Notamacropus eugenii: one gene and its partner. The protein of the gene in region 2 interacts with the protein of the main gene of each other region in a pairwise test. Links are inferred from orthologs where the notes say so. Each region holds a gene or a part of one and is shown on either strand. Other genes may lie near its edges. The genes, in order: QDPR and ANKRD13A.

Evidence for each region.
Region 1: the proteins of ANKRD13A (region 2) and QDPR interact in a two-hybrid assay, tested with the Homo sapiens proteins (2 studies listed by BioGRID). The two-hybrid records come from large-scale screens. The link is inferred for Notamacropus eugenii from reciprocal best matches to the Homo sapiens genes ANKRD13A and QDPR.

What each region holds. Positions count from the first base shown.
Region 1 is NC_092877.1:70,224,326-70,231,697, reverse strand, and holds the start of QDPR (dihydropteridine reductase), read left to right. Parts: upstream 1-4,313; 5' UTR 4,314-4,521; coding exon 4,522-4,620; intron 4,621-7,372. UniProt on the Homo sapiens protein: Catalyzes the conversion of quinonoid dihydrobiopterin into tetrahydrobiopterin.
Region 2 is NC_092875.1:21,996,829-22,004,553, forward strand, and holds the start of ANKRD13A (ankyrin repeat domain-containing protein 13A), read right to left. Parts: upstream 3,010-7,725; 5' UTR 3,000-3,009; coding exon 2,409-2,999; intron 1-2,408. UniProt on the Homo sapiens protein: Ubiquitin-binding protein that specifically recognizes and binds 'Lys-63'-linked ubiquitin. Does not bind 'Lys-48'-linked ubiquitin.

The DNA of each region.
Region 1 (7,372 bases), on a different chromosome or scaffold from region 2:
TTTTGTTTGACCTGGAGAGGAAGTAGAAGGGTACTGGAACATACTCTCATTCAGTTGCAGGTGAAAACAGAGTTTAATATTGGAGTTTTTCTTTCTCTTTCCTCCTGAAGGTCCTGAGGGTTAGAGACTTTCTCATTTTATTTGTGCCTAACTACATGCTTCAATGCAACCTAGCAAAGATGGTCTAACAGGATACTGGGAAAGGGTTTACTACTGTGTCTTATCTTTCCCAAAGTACTTTACCCTGCAAACTGCAGCTTCAACTTTTGTCCACAGACATCCATGTACATGGATGTCTTCTTCCGTTCATGAGCCTTACCCTAGTCACCTCCCTTCTTTTTATGTATTTTTTCTGCATTACTGGTATTTAAGTTATCGTTAGATTCTGTTAAAGCTCTGATTGAACTTATTTCTGCTGAGTAATGATCTGTATATTTGTATTTGAATAAAAAAATTCCCCAATATGATCAGTGTATGTTTTCCTTCTGTTTGCTTAATAAATACAGTGTATTAATGTTTTCAAAGATTTATAAGAGTGTTGGTGGGTACAATCTGCCAAGTCACAGTATTTCTAAAGCTGAAAGATTCAAGTTCATATTCTTAGAACAAATATAAAAAGCACTTGACTGTGGGAAGATGGCCTGAAATAGGTTGGTTTTGGACCTCACCAACCAAAACTGTTCTCTCCAAGGATGGTTTTCATGAGATATCATAATGAATAAATTATGACTTTTCAGTCCTCACTCTTCTTGACCTTTTGACAACCTTTGACACTCACTACTGACCAACCCCTCCTCTTAAATATACTCTTTAGGTAAATCTCTCTGGGTTTTTGGGACATTGGTTTATCTTGGTTCTCCTTCGGCCTGATTATTTCTTCTCAGGCTCTGCTGTAAGATTATCATTCTAGTCCTAACAGTGGATATCCCCTAAGGATTTATCCTGGGCCTTCTTTTTTGTCACTATACTTGCTTTCTTGTCGATATCAACATGGGGTTAAGTCTCTTTGCAGACTACTCCTAGATCTATGTGTCTACCTCTAGCCCTGCACTAGCAAATATCTGTTAAGATACCTGTACCAGGATACCTATGGACATGTCACACCCAACAGATCTAAAATAGAACTCATTATTTTCCCCTCATAAACCCAGGTTTCCAATCTCAGAGGTATCTTCAGCTCCACATTCTCCTTTACCTCCCACCATATCCACAGCCAACAGATTCCAAAACTTGTTGATTCTACCTTGACCACATTCCTTATGGGGTAGCTAGGTAGCACAGTGGATAGAGTGCCAATCCTAGAGTCAGGAAGACCTGAGTTCAAACCCTATCTCAGATACTTATTAAATGTGTGACCCTGGGCAAGCCAGTTAACCTTGTTTGCCTCGGTTTCCTCATCTGTAAAATCTGCTGGAGAAGGAAATGGCAAACCAGTCCACTATCTTTGCCAAGAAAACCCAAATGGGGTTATGAAGAGTCAGACGTGACTGAACAGCATCTCATATCCATTGCCATTCAAATGGCTACCATGCTGCCTCAGACACTTGTGACCTCTTACCTGCATCAACATAATTCTCTCTTAACTACTTTCCCTCCTTCCAATGTCTCTTAGCTCTAATCCATACTCCACATATGGGCCAAATTAATCTGACTAAATCATAGGTCTAACCACATCACTCCCTTCATCAAGAAGTTTCAGGCCTCCCTATTAGCTCTAGTCTAGGTTAAAATACAAACTCCTCCGTGGAGGAACAAATTACCTTTCCAAGCTTAGTCAGAACTAATTCATTCCCTCTATATTCTAGCTAAAGCCTCCTTGTTCTCCAAACTCAGAATTCCATTTCCTACCTCCATGACTTTGCATAGGCTGTTCTTTGTGCCTAGGAGGATACACTCTGTCATAACTTCTATATTTTGAAACTCAAGTCTTAACCTGTATGCTTCCTATAGGAAGCCTTTCCCCTTTTCTGATTCCATTAGATGTTAAGGCTTTTTCCTCAACTGATCAAATACATAATTATATATATTCATCCCCCCTCTTGAAGACAAGAAATACAATTTTCATTTTGTCCCAGTGTGTGGCACACAGAAGGCACTTAATGGGTTGGGTTGGCCTATTCTGGATTAGTTGTTTTTCTGGAGTCCAGAAGAACAAGTCGCATTCTTTCCCCACATGAGAGCCATTCAAATATTTAATGCCCTCTCACTTCTCCATTTCCTTCAACCAGTCCTCCCAGGGCTTGATCTCAGGGTTCTTCACTGCCCCGTTCCTCTGCGGATGCCCTCCAGTGCATCAGCGCCTCCCTAAGAGGGCACCCATAGCTGAACTCACTGAGATGACAGGGACATCCCCTCTGACACCGCCCGTCTGCCGTCACCGGCTCTCCCTGTGTCCGGCTCTCCCTGTGTCCGGCTCTCCGTGTCCGGCTCTCCCTGTGTCCGGCTCTCCCTGTGTCCGGCTCTCCTTGTGTCCGGCTCTCCGTGTCCGGCTCTCCCTGTGTCCGGCTCTCCCTGTGTGTGTCCGGCTCTCCCTGTGTGTGTCCGGCTCTCCCGGTGTCCGGCTCTCCCTGTGTCCGGCTCTCCGTGTCCGGCTCTCCCTGTGTGTGTCCGGCTCTCCCTGTGTCCGGCTCTCCCTGTGTCCGGCTCTCCGTGTCCGGCTCTCCCTGCGTGTGTCCGGCTCTCCCTGTGTCGGGTCTCCGTGTCCGGCTCTCCCTGTGTCCGGCTCTCCCTGTGTGTGTCCGGCTCTCCCTGTGTGTGTCCGGCTCTCCCTGTGTCCGGCTCTCCCTGTGTCCGGCTCTCCCTGTGTCCGGCTCTCCGTGTCCGGCTCTCCCTGTGTGTGTCCGGCTCTCCCTGTGTCCGGCTCTCCCTGTGTGTGTCCGGCTCTCCCCGTGTCCGGCTCTCCCCGTGTCCGGCTCTCCCTGTGTGTGTCCGGCTCTCCCTGTGTCCGGCTCTCCCTGTGTGTGTCCGGCTCTCCCTGTGTGTGTCCGGCTCTCCCTGTGTGTGTCCGGCTCTCCCCGTGTCCGGCTCTCCCTGTGTCCGGCTCTCCCTGTGTCCGGCTCTCCCCGTGTCCGGCTCTCCGTGTCCTGCTCTCTGTGTCCGGCTCTCCCTGTGTCCGGCTCAGAAGGCTTCCACACGGGGCAGGTTCACTAAAGAGGAGAAGCCGGGGGCTCAGCGCCTGCCAGGGCCCCACGTAACCTCAGCCCCTCCCGGCGCCTGCTCGCGGCGCCCCGCGGCTCCGACGTGGGGGCTTCTGCCTGAGCCCCCGAGGCTTCCTCTGAACCTCCAGCTCGGCCTGCCCCCATCCCAGGACACGAGGCCTGGCCTCAGCGCACCTCAGCCTCTGCCCAGCACAAACCCTGAGGCGGGATTCCTCCCCGGACAAAGCCCACGGACCCTCCCTCGCCTGCAAGTCGGGGTCACCCCCTGAGAGCGACGGGCGCGTAGCCTCCGAGGCCAGCCAGGAAGGGCTCTGTCTTGTGATTGGGGGGCGCTTGCGACGTAACGTTACATTTTATTTATATGCATTTATATTCATATATGTTTTAATGTTATATGTAATATATAAACACGTAGAGTATAAATTATACGTAATACATACACTATACATATTAGTATCTTATTGCCCCAGACCCTCCCGGGCAGTCAGTTCCTCGAGCTAGCTACCTTTCCCGTCTCCTCCCGCAATCTCACGCGGACCTCCGTAAACAGCTGGTGCCCATTTTACGAGAATTACGGTAGGCCTTCCTCCGCTGCCTCAGGGACGTCTCCCTGTCCCTCTCCACCTCCTCCGTGGTGTCCTGACTGACAGGTAGACGCGCCCCTTCCCTCTAAGTGACGGTCCAGGGCCGGTCCTGATTGGCTCCCGGGAAACCCTGCAGCTTCCTCAGAGGCTGGGACGGGGCAGGCATTCAGCAGGCGCATAATAAAAGCGGGGCTGTATGGCTTTTGAATGAACGGTTGGCAGAACTGAGTTCGGTATACAGTTCTCTGGGCCGCTAAGTGGGAAAGAGAAACACCTAAAGAGAATGGTCCTTAATAATAAATAATAATAATTAATAAAAATAAGCAACATCTTGGCGTTCGCGGAGGATCTCCCGGCCCTTGACTCCCGGCCCCTTCGGTCACGTGACCTGGGCTCCGCCCTCCTCTCCGGACTCTGCGCTCTCATTGGCTGTCCCTCAGACCCGCTCTTCTCCCCCTCCCACCTCCCACCTTGGCCTTTATCCCCTGCGCTCCAGCTCGCTCCGAGGCGCCTCCCTCCCCCCTCCGGACCGTGAACTCCCGGGGCGCCAGGCTCCCTGAGGAGGGCTTCCTCCGCGGAGGCGGAGCCCCTTGCCGCACCGCCCCCCGCGGTCAGCCCGCCTAGGGGGCAGCAGCGCCCCTCGCCTGCAGGGCCCAGCAGGCCTCCGCTCTCGCGCCCTCTCTCGGCACGTGCCGTGCGGTGTGGGGGCGGGGCCGGATCTCGGGGCGGGGCCGGATCTCGGGGCGGGGCCGGAGCAGCGGGGCGGGCGGACGGGCACGATGGCGGCGGCTGCGGGCGACGCGCGCATGGTCCTGGTGTACGGAGGCAGAGGCGCGCTGGGCACCAAGTGTGTGCAGGCTTTCCGGGCCAAGAACTGGGTAAGCGGGGGGTTTCTGTGCGCGTGGCGCTGAGAAGGGCATGGACGGGGCCGTCGGGCTCCGCGGCGGGCACGGCTGGGGTCCTCGCCTGAGGGCACGGCTCCCCTGTTGCGTACTTCCGTGCCCACTCGTGCTTGTGCAGGGCTCTGTTCGTGCGCATGCTCCCGCTTCTAGGGCACCCCAAAACACACGTGGGTCCCCTGCCTTGCGCTCGCGTGTCTGCTTCTAGGATACCCCGAAACGCACGCACCCCTCCTCTCCGGCGCACGTTCGGACGCGCCCGCGCACCCCCTCCCCTCTTGTAAGGGTGGGCTTCAGACGTGCCCCCGGGCCCATATTTTGCCCCCGAAGCTTAAAGAGAGTCACTACTTGTGAGCGGTGGAATGAGCGAGGCTGCCCCTCCCCGGGGCTGGCCGGGTAGGAGGGAGGGAGGGCTAGCCGGGCCACGGGGGAGACCCCTGGGAGACGGGGCCACGGGTGTGCCGCCCACCGACCTCCTTCCCTGGGGGAAGAGGAACGGACGGGAGGGTGGGGAAGCCGGCGTGCAGCCCCGCAGGAGGAGGTGGTTGGCAGGGCTTGTAGATTAAGGGTGGGGCCGAAGACGGTGAATGTGGGGAGTCGGGGTTCCCACTAGGGCTTTGCTGCAGATGGGGAAGGCGCTAAACCCCTCTTGTCCCAGAAAAGGGAGTCGGCACGATCCTTAACCTCCCCTTTAGCCCAGGACTTGGTGATTTTTGGGGCTCCCCCCTTTTCCCTTTTTGCTCGTTTAGTCTAGGGACGCTCCTCGTTAGCGCCTGTTCCCTAGTCCTGGGACCTGGTTATCACTAAATGTATGTCCAGATCTGACTGTCTGATCCCTCCCTCCCTCCTTCCCTCTTTCCTTCTTTCCTTCTTTCCCTCCTTCCTTCCTTCCTTCCTTCCTTCCTTCCTTCCTTCCTTCCTTCCTTCCTTCCTTCCCTCCTTCCTCTCTCCTTCCTTCCTCTCTCCTTCCTTCCTTCCTTCCTTCCTTCCTTCCTTCCTTCCTTCCTTCCTTCCTCTCTCCTTCCTTCCTCTCTCCTTCCTCTCTCCTTCCTTCCTTCCTTCCTTCCTTCCTTCCTTCCTTCCTTCCTTCCTTCCTTCCTTCCTCCTCTCTCCTTCCTTCCTCTCTCCTTCCTTCCTCTCTCCTTCCTTCCTTCCTTCCTTCCTTCCTTCCTTCCTTCCTTCCTTCCTCTCTCCTTCCTTCCTCTCTCCTTCCTTCCTCTCTCCTTCCTTCCTCTCTCCTTCCTTCCTTCCTTCCTTCCTTCCTTCCTTCCTTCCTTCCTTCCTTCCTGACAGGCTGGCAAGGATAGTGCTGGCTTCCTGGGAGGGAAGGGAGAAGGTAGATGGGTCAGGCTGGGGCCAGGGTCCTTGTGTGACTGCCTGTACTTGTCCATATGGGGCCTCCAGTGGCCTAATTTTTTTCTGAGGATTTTGACAGTAAGCGAACACATTAAGGAAAAATTGCCAGAAGAACCGGTGTTTACACGTTGAAAGAGGGATCTTTGTTCCCATTGAGAGCATTCGTAGCTTGTCTATTTTTCATCTGTAGCATCAAACAGGATAGTCAGGCATGTGAGGAATTCCCATTTGAGTGAGATGCAAGATCTGTTTAAGAACTGAGCGTCTCAGGCATGCTTAAAGGCAACTTAGCTTGGACAACAAGGGATCGGTGAATATGGGGTAGATGAAGAATGAATGGAGGGAAAGTCAGGCTTTTACTCCATGTGCCTGTTACTGTGCTAAGGGCTTGAGGAGACCGGCACTCTAATTGGGGGAAATAATGCCAGGTGCATGTAAAGGTCTTGAATGTAAAGGGGCAGGACAGGGATCCAGAAGAAGAGCAGGCCTGAGAGTCAGAGAAGAAGAGGGAGTTTGAGGTCCCTATGGCAGGAGTGCAGATGAAGGGGAAAGGGGTCTGTTGACCTGTCAAGAGGGGAGAATGTAAAGGAGCAGGAAGCTTTCAGGTGGGTTCTGGGGTTGGGGAAAGGGCAAACAGCCCTGACTCCAGGCCTGGGCATTGTCTGGAAAATGGTAATGCTAACCACATATTTTTGTAGAGCTTTAAGATTGGTAAAGCATTTCCACAGAATATCCCTACGAGGTTGGAAGTGTAAGTATCATTTCCCCCCATTTTACAGCTGAGGAAACTGGAGCTCAGAGCCCCTTCTTGTGCATGGTTCCACAGCTAATAAGTGTTGGGACTAGGATTTGAGCCCAGGTCTCCTGACACCAGGTCCAGCACCGTTTGTATTAGGAGTCACGCTAGTCCTTAGATATAGGTGAATGACCTTGATTCTAGAGGCCTAATCAGGTACAAGGTTATAGGGAGAATCCCTTCCTTGGAAGGGATTTTTACATTAGCATGTGGGGGGGCTTCCTCTTTCCCACACCTAGATTCTGGCTCCAGCATGTCACCTTAAATAAATGTCTCCATTTTTCTGGGTCTCAGTTTTTCATCTCTGAAATGAGGGAGTTCGATGGGAGACCCTTTAGATTCATTTCTAGCTCAAATTTTCTGATTTGTTGTCCCTCTGTCCTAGGTTCTATCTTTTTAAGATTTAACTCACCATTTGATTGTAGCTCCTTAAAATTTTTTAAAATAGATCTATAGAATTTAAAATCTGAAATAGATTTTAGAGGTGATCCAGTATTACCTTTTTTTCTTTCCTCTCCTTCTCTTTACATTTGAGGAAATTGAGGTTCAGAAATATTAAGTGATTTGCCTGATATGAAA
Region 2 (7,725 bases):
GACAGTAAACATGTCAAAGCATCTCCTCAACTGTTCTGCAGGGATTGCGCCGCCTAATTAAAAGGGATGAACCTTACAAAGAAATTCAACCCGTCTCGGCAGAAAAGATTCAGGAAACAAGTACCAAGCATTGTTACTGGGGGGAAAAGGCACCTGGTTTACAATGGATTTCTGGCTGTTTTGACAGTGGGCTGTCTTAGGAGAACTGCAGCGGGCAGATTCTTGGCAAGGGTGAAGGCTCATGCTTGGCAGCAACTTTTCACTCAACTGGGTGATGCTTAGCCTGCGGATTTTTTCAGCCAACCAAATGAAAATCATTTGTGCTTCCCTCAAAGCATTTTCCTGCCGACCTTAGGGCTGCTTCAGAGCCACATAATGCCCTGGCACACCTGCCTCTGACCCAAAGAGTGACTCACACTAATAGTAACAGGCCCCAGCTTTCAGAGGTAGGCAAAATGTCCTACCCCAGTCTGAACTGCTCACTCCCACAGTGTTCATGGTGCCAGGCTGGCACTCTACAATTGGGCAACACAACACAACAAAACAATAAACACATATTAATACTCACAGAGAGATAATATAAAAAAACACTGAGTTCAAACCCAAGCCCCAAGGATGTGGGCTGTGTGACCATGGGAAACTCAATTCACATCTCCGCTCAATTTTCACCCACGTAAAATGGGGATAATAACACAGCCCTACCCATCTAACATAGTATTCTTGTGAAGAAAGTACCATACAAATATAGATTATTATCATTTCCCTAAGTTAGTACACCAAGCTAGCCACTGGAGGAGACAATAAGTAAAGAGCCAGGTTCTGACCTCAAAGCAGTCAAGTAAGGGGATAAGCCAACTGAATAGGACACTCAAGGAAATGCATTAGATACAGAACGAAGTCCTGTGTAATGAGTCACACTGTGGAAAGCCTTTCAAAGGTCTCCTAGGCCAGAGTCCTCACTTGTAAGGTCTGGGGTTTGAATGAATGAACTCAAAAGCATTTCCAAATCAGTTGTCCCCAAGGTCCAGAGCCACAGCATCTCTGAGCTGGAATCTAGTTCAGCCTTCCCCACTGGCACCCTCCACCTGAAGACCTCTGGGGGCAAGGTGGCTGGCTCATCCCTCTTTTGGACGGCTCCAATGGTTAGGAAGGTTTTCACAGCAACAAGGAGCCTTCCAGCTGAAAACCTTCTGTGGGACCCCTCTGAGCATCAAGGACTCCCTGTCTGAGTCCCCCAAGCTCACAGCCCACGGATCACCCTGGAAGCCTCCTCTCTCACCCCCTAAAGCAGATCCGTGGCCAAGACCTGTCCATTTCTCCTTTGTAACATCTCCCTAATACAAACACCTACCTTTCTCTCCTGGGACCCAGCCCCCAACCCGATGAAAGCCCTTACCCCTACTACTTCTGGGGGAGGTTCGGTCTGCCTGCCTCAAGTCTCTCCCCATTCTAGTCCCTCCTCCACTGGGCCACCAAAGTGACTTTCCTAAAACACAGAATCAACCATCAACCCTACTCAATAAACTCCAGTGGTTCCCAATAGACTTTGAAATCAACAATCCAATTCCCTGAAGGTCCAAGTCCTTCCTAACCTTGACCCCCACCTTGACCCTCCCATCTCCGCCTGCCCCCCTGCTCATCTCTGACCCCTGGCCTCCTCCAAGTCCCAGCGAATTCCCACCTTCTTTCAGGAAGCCTTTCCTAATCTCTCTTAATGCCGGAGCCTTCCCTCTGCTAATTAGCCTGCCTGGCCTGCCTACAGCTTGTGGTCCCGAGGGCCTGGCACGCTGGCTCTCCCACTAGACTATGAGCTCATCGAGGGCAGGAATAGTCTTTGGCCTTTCTCTGGATCCCCGCCACCGCACGGTGCTGGCATCTGGGGGCGCCGGATAAAGGCTCCTGGACCGTACTTGGCCCAGATGGCCCTTAAGGGTCTCAATGCTGACACCTCCTCGGACACATACAGGGCTAGACCCGAGGTGCCTAAGGTCCTTCCAGCTCAGTGATAGGACCTCTCTGCCCTTCAGGCCGCCGCCCCCAGCCCTTGACCCCACACCCCTCTGGGACTCAGTTTCTCCTCCCAGCCCCGGTCAGGGGGGTTCAGCCTCCTCACCCGGCCTGCTCTGGAGTTCAGTTCCCCTCTTCCATCAAGAGAATCGGGGTCCCCTGCAGCTCCTGACCCCAGGCTTGCCCTGGGACTCAGAAGTCAGGGTTCCCGGCGGTTCCCAACTCTTGGACTCACTTTCCTCCCGCATCTCCGGGGCCAAGAACCCCCGCAGCCCCGATCCCGGGCCCGCAGAATCCCGGGCCCGCAGGATCCCCTCTGAGTTCACGGACTCAAGGCTCCCCGCGGCTCTGACCCCACAGGCACTCCGAGCCTCAGTTTCCCCCCGAGCTCGTTGGCTCACCTGGCCGTTCAGCTCCTTCTCCAGCTGCCGGTAGTCATTGTTCCAGACCAGGGCGTGCAGGGGGAAGTGGCTGCTGGGGCCGTCACCCCCGCAGGACATGCTGAGGCCCCCGCCGGCCCCGGGGGGCCCCGAGCGGCGCAGGGGACAGCGGGCCCGGCCCGGCCCTCGGCTCCCGACCCCCGGCTCCCGGCTCCCGGCCCCCGGCCCTCGGCTCCCCAGTCCGCTCTCCGCTGCCGCCAGCCGCCCCCGGCCTCGGCCGCTAGCAGCCCCTCTCGCCTCCGCCCCGACGCCGGCGCTCTCCGCCCGCGACTTCTCCGCCCGAACTGTCCCAAACAGGGAAGGGCTGGGCCAAACCACACCGGCCGGCCTGGGGGGGGGAAGACTCAACCTGCGGCTGCGCGGACTGAGGCCGACCCGGACACTCGGGCCCCCGACGCTGAGCTTGAGGCCCCCAAACCACACGGGCGTGGCCGGTCCCCGCCTCACGGCGCTGAGGCTGGCACCCCAAACTCGGCTTCTCACGAACCTCCAGACCCCACCCCCGGCCCCAAGCGCCCCTGTTAATCTCGTCCACAACTCGGGCTTTTCCATTGGCTCGGTATCACAGGAGGTGGGGAGGAGGAAATGGGTAAAACCATTCAGGCCACCTTTGGCCCCGCCCCAGCTCCTGACGCCCCGGCGGCCATATTGGGCAAGGGCGGATTCTTCTGTGATTGGTTAAGAGCCTCTTTGAATCCGAACTGGGGGAAGTTTTTAAATTACAAGAGGAAGTCACTTGTATCACTACATTAGAGATGGGGATGGTTGACTCCTCAGACTAGAAGCCAGTTAACAAGCATTTAATTAATCGATTGATAAACTTTTGTTAAGCCCTTGGGGGATACAATAAAATGCAAAACGCTGTTCTTGCCCTCAAGGAGTTTATAATCTAACGAGGGAGACAACCTGCAAATATAAACAAAGCAAGTTTAGTACAGGAAATTTAGTATAGGAAATCGTTTAAAAGAGGAAAGCACGAGAATTAAGAGGAATCGGGAAAAGCTTCCTGGAGAAGGTGGAATTTTAGTTGGGACTTAAAGGAACCCAGGAAAGACAGGAAGTGGAGAGGGGAGAGAGCATTCCAGGCATAGGGGGACAGCCAGAGAGAAAATGTCAGGAATCAGAAGTAGAGAAAATGTGTTCTTGGAACAGCCAAGAGGCCAGTGTCAGTGGATCCCTGTGGGGAAATAAAGTGTGAGAAGACTGGAAAGGGCAGATTGTGAGGGGCTTTGAATGTCAAACCGAGTATTTTGTATTAGATCCTCGAGGCAATAGGGAACCATTGAAGTTTACGGGGTGTCGGGGGAGAGTGGCATGATCAGACTTGTGTTCTAGGAAAATCGTTTTGATGACTGAACACAGGATGAATTGGAGTGGGAGAAACTTGAGTCAGAGACATCTGAATTGTAGGCTAAAGAGTCCACACTGCTCCCAAGGAAATTGACTTGTTATTGTTTAGTCCAGATGGGATGGAAATTGACTTCTTCTTGTTGCTGTTGTTATGGAGGGGTGGAAACTGACTTCTTGTTGTGGGGGGGAGGGGTGGAAATTGACTTTTTGTTGCTGTTTAGTCAAAGGGTGGAAATTGGCTTGTTGCTGTTTAGTTGGGGGAAGGATGGAAACTGATTTATTGTTTAGTCAAGAGGACAACAAAAATTGATTGTGTTGTTGGGGGTGGGGCTGCAGAAATTGACTTCTTGTTGTTTAGTGGGGTGGGGGTGGAAATTGACTTCTGTTGTTGTTTAGTCCTGAGGGGATAGAAATGGACATGTTGTTTAGTGGGGAAGAGGTAGAAATTGGCTTTTTGTTGTTGTTTAGTTGTGAGGGGGTGAAAATTGACTTTATTGTTGTTTAATGTGGGGGTGGAAATTGACATTTTGTTGTTGTTTGTCGGGTTGTTTTTGGGGGGGTCCTGTCGGTGACCCTATTTGGGGTTTTCTTGGCAGAGATACTGGAGTGGTTTATCATTTCCTTCTCCAGCTCATTTTACAGAAGAGGAAACTGAGGCAAATAGGGGTAAGTGATTTGATCAGTGTCACACCGCTACTAAAGTGTCTGAGGCCTCCTATCTCACCGTGCCAGCTGTCCCAGAAATTGGCTAACCCTTTACCATAAAACCTAGAATGTGGAAGATCCTGTATTTGAACACAGCTCTGGAACTCCAAAAATGCCAAGTTTTCATGAATGTTTCTCTCCCTTTGACTTTCCACTTTGGAGAGCACAGCATTGTTTTTCATCTGGCCTTCTTTGACATCAGACTAGCCTGTCTGTAGCCATTGTTTCCCAGCTGCCCACAATTAACCACACTATACTCTTGGCTACTGTTCTCAGATGTATTCATAAAGCATTCCTTCTGTGCTTCAGCTCTAGACACAACAGCTGGTTGGGAATCCTGCTGTAATCCATTCTCCACACAACAGATCCAGAAGCCATTACATTTCCGTGAGTGGCACCTCACTGCTTGGAAACCAATCATAATAACTGACATTTATACAACCCCTTAAAGCTTGCAAAGCATCCTATACATGTGAACTCTGAGTAGTGAAACAACCAAATGAAGTGAGCCGTTCAAATATTATCCCCATTTCACAGATGAGAGAACTGAGTCACCTGACACAAGCAGCCTACATCAAAGGCAAGATGTGAACTCCAAATCCAGCACTTTATCTTGTTATGGAGATAACCACTGGATAAGTTCCCTCCTGGCAACAAAAATGGGATGCAATATAATAATAGATTGCCTTGACTCAGAGTCTGGAGAGGACAATTGTGTTCCAAGGCACACAAAGAGTCCTATCTGAAAGATGTTAAACTTGATTTATCACAATGCTTACATACATAGAGGCCATAGGGAAGAAAATGTCCTAGTGTTAAACATGCATGCAACTGTAAAGGTTACGTTGCATCCAAGTCCTCATTCAATATGACCTGGTGGTAGGGATAGAGAAAATCCACACTATAGTGTCACAAAGTGGTCCGGGTTGCCCCTAGAGGTGGTGGATTCCCTTCTCTGGAGGTCTTCAAGCTGAGGCTTGACATCTGCTTACTGGGGGTGATGTAGAGTCAGCCTATCAGTCAGTCAGTCAGTCAATAAGCATTTATTAAGCATTTGATATGTGCTAGGCACCATGTCATGGGCTGGGGATATAAGATGAAAACTGGAATAGTCCTTGATTTCAAAGAATTTCCAGTCTGTAAATGAGTCACTTAATTAGTAGATATTTGTTAAGTGCCTACTATGTGCCAGGCACAATGCTAAGCCCTGAGGATACAAAAACAAACAAAAGATAAGCATCTGGCCTCAAAGAGTTCACAATCTAATGGAGGGACCAATGGGTGGTGAAGTGGATAAAGCACTGACCCTGAAGGCCTGAGTTCAAATGGGACCTCAGACACTTACTAGCTGTGTGACCCTGGGTAAATCACTTAATCCCAACTGCCAAGGAAAGAAGGAAGAAAAAGAAAAGAATTTAACAGTGGAGACAATTTAGGAAAAAATATATACAAAGCAAGTTATGTAGAGAATAAGTAGGAAATAATTTATCCTCTATATTTTTAGAGGCTAAATAGGAATAATTAACAGGGGGAAACACTAGAATTAATTCTTGAAGAGGACCATGACATCAGGGAGGTGATGCCATGACATGCAAATAAACTGGATTTAACTGAGGCAGGGCTGTCAAGGTCACCAGCCTCACTTTCTCCTCTGAAGCCATCTGGATCCAGTGGTGAGATCTAATCAGGATGACTGGAGATGGCCCTCGGGAGGGGTTAGGAAAGTCTTCCTGTAGAAGGTAGGATTTTAGTTGAGACTCAAAAGAAAGCCAGAGAGAACAGTAGTCAAAGCAGAGGAGGGAGAATGTTTCAGACATGGGGGACAACCAGAGAAAATTCCTGGAACAAGGAGATGTTTACTGGGGAGACCCAACTTGTTAATAATCAATTAAACAGTTAGCACTTATGTAATCAAACACTGTGCTGGGCACTGAAGACACAAAGAGAAAACAAAGCAGTGACTGCTGTCAGGGAGCAGGGATATGTGACATATACCCATATGGTATATAAGGATTAGTTGAACAAGCTGTGGATGTTTAGCTTGGAAAAGAAAAGAAATATTCAAGAGATTTCTGTTGAGTCATTTTCAAGTCATGTCTGACTCTCCATGACCCCATTTGGGGTTTTCTGGGCAAACATACTGGAGTGGTTTGCCATTTCCTTTTCTAGCTCATTTGACAGATGAGAAAACTGAGGCAAACAGGGTGAAGTAACTTGCCCAGGGTCACACAGCTCCTAAGTGTCTGAGGCCAAATTTGAACTTAGGTCCTCCTAACTCCAGGGCTGGCCACTCTATCCACGGCACCACCTATCTAGTGGGTGTCTTCAAATATTTGAAGGGCAATCACTTGACGAAGAATCAGTTTTGTGATTTCTTTGGCTCCTGTGAGGGCAGAACCAGAAGCCTTGGGTCCTCCATCAAATTTAGCCTTGATATCAGGAAAAACTTGCTAACGATTAGCGCTGTCCCCACGTGGGATGAGCTGCCTCAAAGGTGGCTTTCTCAGCCTTGAAGGTCTGCAAGTCCGGGCAGCCACTGGTCAGTGTTAGCAAAAGGAACCCCTGGTCAGATATGGGTTGAACTGGTTGGATCCCTGAGGTCCCTTCCAGCTCTGAAATATTGTGATTCAAGCTGCAAACTTGACTGCAATGAAAGGTTCTTGTCTACTCTCTGCCAACCATGTGTACAAACGATTTCAATGCTCCAGATCTTTGAGGACAAAGAAGCTGCTTTTGGCTGGCCAAGTATGACTCAATCAATGCTGCAAGACAAGCACTCTGGAGATGATGAAGCATTCCCTTCTTGGCCATAAAGCAGGAACAACAGATGAATGATGGCCATGATAATAGCCATCATTTATGTAACATCTACTATGTGCAAGGCATTGTGCTAAGCCAGAGCTTTTGATCCTCACAACAACCCTGGGAGATAGGTACTATTATTATCCACATTTTACAGGTGAGGAAACTGAGGCAGGCAGAGGATAAATGACTTGTGTCATTTAAGGACACAAAGGAGGTATCTGAGGCTAGTTTTGAGCTCAGGTCTTCCTGACTCCCAGCCCAGGGCTCTAACCATTGTACCTCCTATATCAGTGGACCTTTAAAAGAGGGAGAGACTATCTTCTTTTGTCCATTTCCTGTATGGCCCATTCCTGAAGGGGCTGCCCTTTCTCCCAGCCCAACAGAAACATCAAACTTTGAGCTCATGTAGGCAGGTGAG